Yarrowia lipolytica: one gene and its partners. The protein of the gene in region 2 purifies or fractionates together with the protein of the main gene of each other region. This does not show direct contact. Links are inferred from orthologs where the notes say so. Each region holds a gene or a part of one and is shown on either strand. Other genes may lie near its edges.

Region 1 (3,753 bases), on a different chromosome or scaffold from region 2:
AAGTATCGTATACAGTACTGTACATTTAGCTATAGTACTTGTACCTGTACTATACGATGTGTTGTATCAAACATACATGGTTATACACATTTGCAGTGTGTCGTCGCATGAGAGATCACATCTCACGAGCTACAGTATCACATCTCACGAGCTACAGTATCACATCTCACGAGCTACAGTACGAACAACATCTGTAATGTCGATAGAGAATCTGGCGTTTTACAATACCAATACAGTACAGTACTAATTAGTGCATTACTCATACAATACATATCATAGCTACAATTACCCGTTCCGTTACTGGTACGAGTACGGTAGAACTACGTAAAAGTAGTTACATGCATCAGCTACGAACATAAAAACATTTCGAATAAACATGTGAATCAACTAGTGAATCAATAATACATTTTGCTATTTTAGTTTCGCTTTCGGAATCGTCGCTCAGCAGACTGCTGGGAAACGTGGACAACCTTAAGGGGAAGGGAAGAGAATCCGAGGGTCTTGAGGAGGTCGGCAGTATCGTTGTCAACCTGGAGCTGGTTGTCGGTGTGAGAAAGGTCAAGAGCAGAGATCTCGGGGACGTACTGGTCCTTTCGCTCTCGCTCCTCCTCCTGAAGCTTGAAGGAGATACCTCGGACGGGACCCTTCTGGATTCGCTTCATGAGGTGGGTGGTGTAGCCAGCGATCTTGTTTCGGAGTCGCTTGGAGGGGATAACAGCGATCTCATCAGCAAGTCGCTTGTTGGTCTCGAAGTCGAGGGTGAGCTTGGGGTAGTATCGCTCAATCATGACCTTGGAGGCCCGCTTGACAGTCTTAGTTCGAACTCGACCCTGGGGTTAGTAACGGCCTGGAAATCACCACGGAATCCTTCTCATCTTGTCGTCGCAGATAGATTCACTTGTCGTTTGTCAGTCGTGATTGTGCCCGTCACACTGCCACCTTTTCACACTCACCATTTTGTGCTATTTGTTACTGGCGAAAAGTACACTGAGAAGTAAAATCTCTACAGCTTTCGTCAATGTGCGCGGGCCAGCGTTGGGACGTCCCGATTAGGCAGTGCACGTGCTTGGGCCCAGAATCGGACTGTCAAAATTTAAAACGGAATTCAACCCTAAACCAACAACCAGCCATCAGAGCCCCTCCCACATGTAAGTCCCAAACCCTAATAACCAAATTGAGACTGGTCGTTCGTTTTCAAGACGCCTCCCACATAAGCAAGCCCTAATCTCAAAAGCCCCAGGAACATGTTGAACATCAAACTCCAAGCAATACGACCGGGTAACACCATACACTGGCCTACACTGAACCATGACATACCCTATGAGATACAATGCAAGTACAAATCGCGATGTAAGAGAAGAGGCGATTTGACGCTTTCGGTAAATAAATTATACAGTGCGCCACCAACATACAAGTTTGTACAAGTAGCTGGTGTGAGCAGTGAGAAATTAACACACACCTCCAGAATGTGGCATTAAGCTTCGAAAGTGGGTTGGAAATTGGTCACTACGCCAATAAATTAGCATCGCCGCTTGAAACGACGTGGCGCACAGGACAAACAACTGGACACGAAGAAGTCCAGCCATCAACCAAAGAACGACTACGTCTAAATCGCAATAATGACGGTTATCCATCGCAAAAACGCGCCGACAAATCCCAAGGCATCAGAGCCAGGCGTCAAGTGAGTACATCATACATCATGTCCCAAATGCACTCAGCATGGTTTATATATTTTTGCAGTTTGTCAGCAAGTTGTTGCTGTATAGTTGCTCCAAGGTTGTGTCAAGCGAAGGAATGTGCTAGAGTCCCCCGTTGACTCGATTTCGATACACTTTCATCACCCCATGCTAACTAAATCCAGATTTCACTGCGACGTGTGTTCGTGTGATTGCACCAACCTGGTAAGAATCCGATGTGCGGAGTGCCAGGACTACGATCTGTGTGTACAATGCTTCTCTCAGGGTGCCTCATCAGGTGTCCACAAGCCCTACCACAACTACATGATTATTGAGCAGCATGCTTATCCTATTTTCACTGAGGACTGGGGTGCTGATGAGGAGTTGCTATTAATCGAGGGTGCCGAGATGCAGGGTCTTGGAAACTGGCAGGACATCGCTGACCATATCGGTGGTAGATCAAAGGAAGAGGTTGGGGAGCATTACAAGGAAGTCTATCTGGACTCGCCAGACTACCCGTTGCCCCCCATGAAGCGGAAATTCGAGATCACTGCAGCTGAGTTCGCAGCAAACAAAAAGGAGCGTCTGGATAAGCGACGAAATATGCCCACCGCTCTCCCTGTGCCCAAGCAAAAGCCCACGGCTTCTGTTCCTGCATGCCATGAGGTGCAAGGGTTTATGCCGGGACGTCTGGAGTTCGAGACCGAGCATGAAAACGAGGCCGAGATGACGGTCAAGGACATGGTTTTTGATCAGGACGACACCGAGGCTGATGTGGAGCTCAAGATCACTGTTCTTGATATCTACAACTCTCGTCTCACATCACGAACCGAGCGAAAGCGAGCCATCATCAACCATGGGCTGCTTCAGTACAGGAAGAACGCCTCTGTCGATAAGAAACGGACCAAGGAGGAGCGCGAGCTTGTAAACAAGTTAAAGCCGTTTGCAAGAATCATGACACTACAGGATTTCACCGATTTTGTTGATGGAATGATTATTGAGCTCCAGTGTCGACGACGACTGGCTGAACTTCAGGAGTATCGACGTAACGGTATCACCACCTTCGAAGCTGCGTCCAAATACGAACGAGATAAAACTGTACGTGCAAACGCATTGGCCAGGCTGCAGGCTCCCATTAACTCCATCAACTCGACTGGATCCAGATACACTGCAAACTCGATGAATGCTGCAAACAATGCTCTTGTTCAAAAAACCAACAAACAGGCCGCTGCCGCAAACCAGGCTGCCGCCGAAGCTGTGAAGATGGACCCTGACTCGGGAGCAGACACCTTACGGCTTTTCAGAAAACCTGTGGCCAATCCCCTCGACATCTCGCATGCCCCAGACGTGGAGCTGCTTTCTCCAGAAGAGCAGGTTCTTTGTTCCCAGCTGCGTATCTTGCCCAAGCCGTATCTGGCCATCAAGGAAACGCTGTTCCGAGAGCTGCTGCGAACCGGAGGTGTGCTCAAGAAGCGTACAGCCCGTGAACTGGTCAAGATTGATGTCAACAAAACCGCTCGAATCTATGAGTTTTTCCAGTCTCAGCGCTGGCTCTCTTAGGGCCTTGTTGCAACCCATATATAATGCTGAGTGTCACCAATCTCTTGGAATCCTGTATATTAGTTAATTTATTCAAATACAAACATTAGAAACAAAACCGCGAACACTAGAAGGGACAAACATCGAGTATCGTAGCTATTATACAAAGTTTATTGCAGTCTACTTCAGCTATACTCCCTTGCCGGGTATGTACTTGTACTTACCAAAGAGACCTGATCATTCCGCAGTTACCTCGTAGTTGTAACTACTAGGGTGCTGAACGACCACCTCATGCAGGACATCTAGCAGCTTAGTAACTAGATGGCTGGGCACATCTTCTCTCAGGGTGATCTGTGGTGTTTATGCAGTTGCCACCCATTATCCAGTCTTTGATCCACATGCCCGTTGCTCTATGCTTGCAATTTGCTTTCTCCATCTTTTTGCTGGTATGGTGCAGACCCAGGAAACTGCGACACCACCACACCATTCTTGTCTACACACTCGAAGTTGTATCTTGAGAGGTAATGTGGCAACGCAC
Region 2 (3,754 bases):
GGAAAAGTCTCCATTAACAAATTGCTCGGAGTTGTCCTTGAACTGCTGGTCTGTCATCTCTCCCTGACCACCTCCAGGTCGCAGCAGATCGCCCAAGAAAGACCCCAGGTTGTTCTTGAGATCCACCAACTTATGGCCGTGACGCTCAACGTCATCTCGGATGTACGCAGACAGCCCCTCGATAGACCCCGCGCCCGATTCCTCCAGAGTCTCCTTCAGAATCGTCTCCTTGCTGGTGTTTGTGTTCTTGAAATGCTGAGTGTAGGCCACCATTGAACGTCCCAGGTTGGATAGAAAGTCGCCCGCAATCTCTGTGAGTGCGTTGATGGCAAACGACTCGGTCGACTCAAAACCAGAGTGCATAGCAATTCGAGAAGCCGCTCGTTTCAGAGAAGCCTCACACACCTCTTTATCGTACTCATCTCTATTAGGAAGACGAGACTCGATATCCACATCAAAATCGGTGATCTTAGGCGGATTGTAGGCCTTTATCTGCGACGAATGCAGATACTGCTGCTGCATTTGTCGGATGATAGAAATTTTGGAGCAAATCTTTCGAATCTTTTGCATCTCGTTCAAGTTGTGGTCAATCTTGCTGACTAGACCCTTCGCAGGGGCAACGTATCGAGAAGGAGTGTTCTTGAGGCACTCAATATCAACATGGCTCCAAGTGTCGTCAATTCCTTCGTCGGGGTTGTCGCATGAAATGGCCCAGGGGAGCTCAGGAAGGCCGGCCTGGGGGTCGTACTCAAGTAAAAACGGCCGTCGGGGAATGTTTAATGGAGCATCAGCCTTGGGCTGTGTACTATCATTCACCTCTGCTGCCTCCTCCAGCAAGTCCTCCTGGAATTCCTCAAACTCCATGTGGGGACCGACTCCTCGCACTGCTGCTTCGGCTGAAAGGAAGTCACGGAACCCCTTTGATTTGGAAATGACAGTAGCGTCTGCGTCTGCCTGTATCTTGTTGTCCTTAAACAGCCGCGACCGCTGCACGGAAATGAGCGTCCGTTTGCGGCCAGTGTACTCAGTCCAGAACTGCTCCTCGAGATCATTGTCCGAATCGTCATCGGAATCACCACCAACCCCATAATCATTATTCTCAGCAGAAGCAGTCAGTTCCTTGGCACCAGTATGGCCAGCGGGGACCAAGGCAGACACGTTCGCCGACTCGGGCTCTTCGGTGGCTTCCTTGGTCTCGGTCTTGATATCGTTGTTGTTGGTATCCGGCTTAATATCATCCGAAGTCTTGTTGTTACCATCAACATCGACGTCCATAGACACATCTTCAACCTTGATGTCAGAGTCGTCGGCGTCTTTAGCATCCTCATCCACCTCCTCAATCTTCCGCTTTCGGCCTCCCTTCTGGCCTTTTCCTCCTTTCTGGCCCTTCCCAACAGTTTTGCCAATAGACATTCCTGTTCGAGCCTTGGCACCTCCCTGCTCTTTTTCCTCCTCTTCCTTGGCCTCCTGAGCCTGCGCGGCCTCCTCTGCGTCTGCCTCGGCCCGTGTCTTGATGGTGATGTCGGGGATGAGAGGAATGAGCGTCAACGTCTTCTTCTGCATGGCAATAGCATGGGCTCGCAAAAAGTGCTTGGGATTAGTGTTGTAGGTCAAGCAGTTTTGCCAGATGAGCATTAGGTCGTTGACAAAGTCCTTCTTGCTGTCGTATTGGAGGTTCTTGAGCTTCTTCATGACCGTGTTGAGATCCATGGGCTCCTTGATGACACTGAAGTAGTTGGGCGCGTCCCGCTTGTTGACCTTGTTGAGAAATGCAGTTGAGTGCTCTGTGTAGCCTCGTAGCTCGAGAACCACCTTCTCTGCAGCTTCATAAAGATCCTCCTGGCCTACACGTTCTTCGTTGGCCCACTTGGATCGGTTTTTGCGCACGTCCAGAATCAGCTTACGCAGCTGGGTGTCTGTGAGAGACAACTTGTCTCGCTTGGACTCAATTGTGGCCAAGAGGTTCTGTGTTAGTATAAATAATAGGAAGGTCGTTAGTAATGAAGATGCTCACCTTTAGAGACAGATTTGCGGCTCCAAAATTCGCCTTGGTCGGCTCCTCCTGTGTGTTTGTTTCCCCTGTGTTCTCCGACTCCTGGCTTCCCTCCTCGGCCAGATACGAGTCCATGGCCTCGCTGTCATTTTCAAACAGATGGTACCGTTGCCATATCCGGGCCAACAGAGCCGAGTCTCGTTTTTGGATATCGTCGGAGGTCGCTGGTCGGTCTTCGACCGATACCGAGTCCACTAGTGCTACACTGCTACCGTCCGTATGCTGGTCCTTGTTGTTGTTTCCGTCTGTTTTGGGACCCTCATCTTCGTCATCAAAATCGTAGTCATCTTCCTCCTCTCGTACAGGAGCAGCCTTGATCTGGGCAGGAGTCTCTTCCTTTTTGCGTTCTGCCAGGATGTCTTCAATGTCCACCTCCAGGTCCCCTCCCTTGATGTTGGGGTATAGCAGCGGCACAGACTTGTCGAAAATCATGTGCCGCACCTTGAAGGCCAACGCGACACAGTCCAGCGACACGGTCTTCTGAAAGCCTTCATTCGACGGAGTCGGCGACGGCTGATTCATCTGCAGATGCTTCAGATGCAGATGCGTTGAGGAGGACGATGTGCTCACCACGGGTGTACTTGGAGTCGGGGTTTCGGGACGTGCTCCATCCAGATTGTTGTTGGCGGCGTTTTCCTGTTCCTGCCTGAATCCCAGCGGGGGATCCGGCAACGGATTGTCGACAAATATCGACAGTTTGCCCTCGACCAGGTTGTCCCACATGGCGTCGTTCTCCAGCACTTTTTGCACGACCTGGTGTTCCTGGATGGTGAGAAAGCCGCGCCAGAGATCCTTGGCTTCAATTTCGCGGGCGACGGCAAGCAGATCACGTGATCGCCCGGAGGCCCACACGTTCAGCGACGTCATGTTGTCGTTCAATGTCTAAAAGGCCGAGACGGTGCTGATCGGCTTTTTTCCCAATCGGAGAATGTGATGGTGAGATGTGGTGTTGGAGATGCAGTATAAGTGGAGTGCCAACCTTAAACTCGCGCACCGGAGGGGAGAGATGGATCTGGGTGATGGACGTGAGGGCAAGAAGTTAGTATGCTGTTGGGAGGGTATTTGGCGTCGGAGGGGATGACGACAGATTATGAGTTAGTTTGGGGGAAACGACACTAACTCGTAAGTTGTAAGAGCTACTGAGGAGAAGTGTAGCTGACATGAAACAATGATATGAACGATTGTGTGTGCTCGTCCGTCGTAATTGTACTGTACAGTTATTACTCATTGGTGTCTTTCACTTAATTACGAGTCAGGCACCGAAGACAATTCCGCAGACATAATGTGACCTTCCCAATACACGGACAAGGCAAGTACAATATGAGTGTCAGCTTGATATATATAAGGAGGTGTGACGACTCTTGGTGAGCAGCGTCTTTATTAATCCGGCAATGGCCCACAATCGACAATTCAACGTTTCTCAGCAATCAAACAATTCTTCGACTATTCGCAGATCCCCAGACTTGGACATTGCTATAAGCAGTGATCTTGATATTTTCACTGGTACAAGACACGTTCCTGGACCTACCGATAACTACAGAGACTACCAATCAATCCTCGACCCCATGACTTCATCCAGAGCTCCTGTTTCTGCCCGGAGAGCTAGCTTCAAACGGCATTCCCCCATGGATCATTCGGAACGACCCTCCAGCTACTCACACACAAACAGAAGATCCATGTACACGCATTTCGAACATGAAG
Region 3 (3,334 bases), on a different chromosome or scaffold from region 2:
GTGTCATCTGGGCAACAAACCCATCTTTTATCCCGTCCCTGGCAAGTGATCTTCAGCATGGTCCTACAGTAGTACCGACACTGGTGCACTCTATAGCGATAGGTACGAGGAATCGGATGTGCGTACGTACAAAGTGCGCTTCCATGAGGCTAAGGCTGTGGATGCATCGGACAAGTGACTTGTTTCGTTAGTGTAGTGTGTGTGGGAGGAGAGTGTGTGTGCGGGAGTGCAAGTGGAGGTGAAATGTTGTGAAAGGTTGTGAAATGATGTGTAAAGGGAGGATAGGACGGGCGGAAAAGACCGCAAGCTGTATCATTTTGAAGCTCTCGGGCCCGCGAAGCTGTTTGCGGCATTAATGTCTCCATTCGAGCTCTTTTGGCGGACTCCAGGTGTCGTTTCTCTCCAACTACAAGTACTCATACAGTAGCCGCAGCCGTAAAGACCTCAGCCACTGACTCAACACCGCGGTTGCTTCTGGAACGGTTTGAAAGCTAAAACATCTTTAGGTGTCAGATTTTGGGAGGGTTTCAGATGGTGCGGATTGTGCAAAGTGGCAGAAAAGAGGGCGCAGGAGGCGGATTTTTGCGCTTTTGAAGACACATATGGGTTTTCCGAGCCCTCGAAACCATCTCTGGCCGTTTTCCCCGTCAAAAACCCCCGCATTTCACCTCCATCGTCGCTTCTGCTGAAGTCACCAGGTACTCCCGCAAATAAGCTTCATTCGCCACTCAAACCGTCCTGCCTTGAGATAAAAGTGCAACGTTGTCCACCAACGAACCCTGACAAGCCGCTAATCACTGTACGACGAACTTGAACGACCCAGTCGACGATTTCAACGTACAAAGTTCCTCCGAGAGTGACACAGACCGACGAACGATCGCACACAGACCGACAGCGACCACTCAGACAGTCCAGACATCAGACATCAGACTGAACACAACCAACAAGCATTGAACACTGCCCTTCCACCAAGTTCGACACGCAGACACAGAACCGCTCCAACCGACACAGAACCGCTCCAACCGACACAGAACCACTCCAACCGACACAGAACCTTTCCAACCGACACAGAACCGTTCCAACCGACGCACTACTGTTTCTTGTGTCTACAGCATCCACTGCATAATAAAGTCATACCAGCAACAACAGCACTATTCCAGCTCGTGGTTTTTTTTTTTTTTTTTTTGATTACCACAGCCACCTCACCTAGATATGTACTCAGACTACAACATTCCTGGTGCCATGCCGGCGTCCATGGCCATGCCTCCGTTCAAACAGGAGTTTGACTACGCCCAATACGACCTTAACCAGCCCCTGCCCCCGCAGCAGCAACAACAGCCTATCGACCTGACCCCTGGAGGGCCCCTCCCCGTCTCGGATTACTCGACGTCGTCATACACCCTGGACAACGACTCACAGAAGCGAAAAATGTCCCCGGGAGAGTCCACCAGTGACGGAGGCGCCGACGACGAGTCTCCAGAAGGAGATGACGGTGAGGCCGACCCCAAGAAGCCCCGAAAGCCCGGCCGAAAGCCCGAAACCACCATCCCCGCGTCCAAACGCAAGGCTCAGAACCGGGCTGCCCAAAGGGCCTTCAGAGAGCGAAAGGAAAAGCATCTGCGCGACCTGGAAACCAAAATATCTCAGCTCGAGGGCGAGACGGCAGCCAAAAACTCGGAAAACGAGTTCCTGCGCTTCCAGGTCCAGCGGCTTCAGAACGAGCTCAAGCTTTACCGTGAGAAGCCTGCCGGCACTTCGGGAGCCTCTGGAGTCTCTGGAGCCGGAGCACCCGCTTCAAACGTGCATTCGGCTCCCATCCCGGAGATGTCGTCCAAACCGTTCACGTTCGAGTTCCCCTCGTACAACGTGCCCAAGCCGACCGATGTGGAGCGAGAGGCACGCGAGCAACTGCAACGAGAGCAGATCCGAGGCTACTTGCAGCGCAAGCCCTCATCTGTGGCCTCCGACACCACTTCTCCTGCATCTCAAACCTCGTGCAACCAGTCTCCCTGCACCAACCCCTCGGCATACACTTCGCCCCAGAGCCAGAGTGGAAGTGTGAGCCAGCAGAAGCCCCTGTTGGGTGCTACCATCGCTGCCATGAACGGCAAGCCCGACCCCCATGCTGTTGACTTTTGTGCTGAGCTCTCCAAGGCCTGTGTAAACAAGGCCGAGCTGCTGCAGCGATCCGCCACAGCCAGTGCATCTCCCACAACCTCCAACACGGTGGTACCGTCCGCAGCTGCACCGGGTAGCACTCAGCAGTCGGCAGGCCAGCCCTCTGTATCCACTCCTACCTCCTCCACAACTGCCCCTCCTCAATTGTCTGCATCTGTCGCTACAGCCGGCTCTGATCTTCCCGGATCGGACTTCCTGTTTGACATGCCCTTCGACATGGACTTTATGTCGTACCGAGACCCCGTTTCCGAGACGGCACATCTGGACGACTTTTCGCTGCCCGAGCTCACGACAGAAACATCCATGTTTGATCCTCTGGACCCCCATTCCAGCAGCGACGTTATTTCTGGCAAGCCTCTGTCTACCATGGGCGCTACACACAGTGGTGTCAACAACGGACAGGGAAGTGGTGCTCCCGAAGTCAAGAAGGAGGAGGATGAGGACCTGCTCATGTTCTCCAAGCCCAAGACGCTCATGAACTGCACCGCTGTGTGGGACCGTATCACGTCGCATCCCAAGTTTGGCGATATCGACATCGAGGGCCTGTGTTCGGAGCTGCGAAACAAGGCAAAGTGCAGTGAGAGTGGCGTCGTGTTGACGGAGTTGGACGTGGATGGTGTCCTGTCAACGTTCCAGTAAGCGAAAGCTGAAGAAGTTCGCTCCTGGTTCAAATTGGAAATAGGTATATGTTCTCCCGGAGAACATCGAGGTGTAAGTCGGCAGGGTCGCTTCTCGGCTACAGCCATGTTTATTTAAATACTAACGTGTATAGTTAATTGTAATAAGAGAATACGAATAGTGAGAGAGTTCAGATGTATACGGGTCAGTGGGTCAACATTTGCTTCAGACTCTGGATGAAGATTATATATTCCTTTATTAATGGGTTTTCTCGATACAGACAATGGGGTGGAATCTCATAACGCAAAGGATCCCATGACGCCAAAGCAAGTACCGGTCCAATTTGTACTGCCAGTAGAGAGCATCCCAAACAAGCAGTCGCAGTCGCACTCATCGATATGCATATGTGCTACTTAACTGTACGAGTACTGTACAGTACATACAGTACCTGTAGTGATTCACATTCAGTCATACAGTGCAGGAGTACTTCCGCTTGTCTCACAGGCTTTGTCCATGTGCCAATGAGTCAGACAGACAC

Evidence for each region. The genes of interacting proteins can lie anywhere in the genome.
Region 1: the proteins of YALI1_E38056g (region 2) and YALI1_F19244g purify together in Saccharomyces cerevisiae (affinity purification with mass spectrometry; 28 studies listed by BioGRID, with this or other methods). This does not show direct contact. The link is inferred for Yarrowia lipolytica from reciprocal best matches to the Saccharomyces cerevisiae genes SPT7 and ADA2.
Region 3: the proteins of YALI1_E38056g (region 2) and YALI1_F04763g purify together in Saccharomyces cerevisiae (affinity purification with mass spectrometry; 3 studies listed by BioGRID). This does not show direct contact. The link is inferred for Yarrowia lipolytica from reciprocal best matches to the Saccharomyces cerevisiae genes SPT7 and YAP1.

Annotation. Positions count from the first base shown.
Region 1 is NC_090775.1:1,922,584-1,926,336, reverse strand, and holds YALI1_F19244g (uncharacterized protein), read left to right. Parts: upstream 1-1,619; coding exon 1,620-1,681; intron 1,682-1,861; coding exon 1,862-3,236; downstream 3,237-3,753. Other genes in the region: YALI1_F19249g (uncharacterized protein), read right to left, coding at 417-830, 1,318-1,410; YALI1_F19218g (uncharacterized protein), read right to left, coding at 3,626-3,753. UniProt on the Saccharomyces cerevisiae protein: Component of the transcription coactivator SAGA complex. SAGA acts as a general cofactor required for essentially all RNA polymerase II transcription. At the promoters, SAGA is required for transcription pre-initiation complex (PIC) recruitment.
Region 2 is NC_090774.1:3,804,741-3,808,494, reverse strand, and holds the start of YALI1_E38056g (uncharacterized protein), read right to left. Parts: upstream 2,921-3,754; coding exon 2,015-2,920; intron 1,966-2,014; coding exon 1-1,965. Other genes in the region: YALI1_E38050g (uncharacterized protein), read left to right, coding at 3,445-3,754. UniProt on the Saccharomyces cerevisiae protein: Component of the transcription coactivator SAGA complex. SAGA acts as a general cofactor required for essentially all RNA polymerase II transcription. At the promoters, SAGA is required for transcription pre-initiation complex (PIC) recruitment.
Region 3 is NC_090775.1:475,128-478,461, forward strand, and holds YALI1_F04763g (uncharacterized protein), read left to right. Parts: upstream 1-1,212; coding exon 1,213-2,817; downstream 2,818-3,334. UniProt on the Saccharomyces cerevisiae protein: Transcription activator involved in oxidative stress response and redox homeostasis.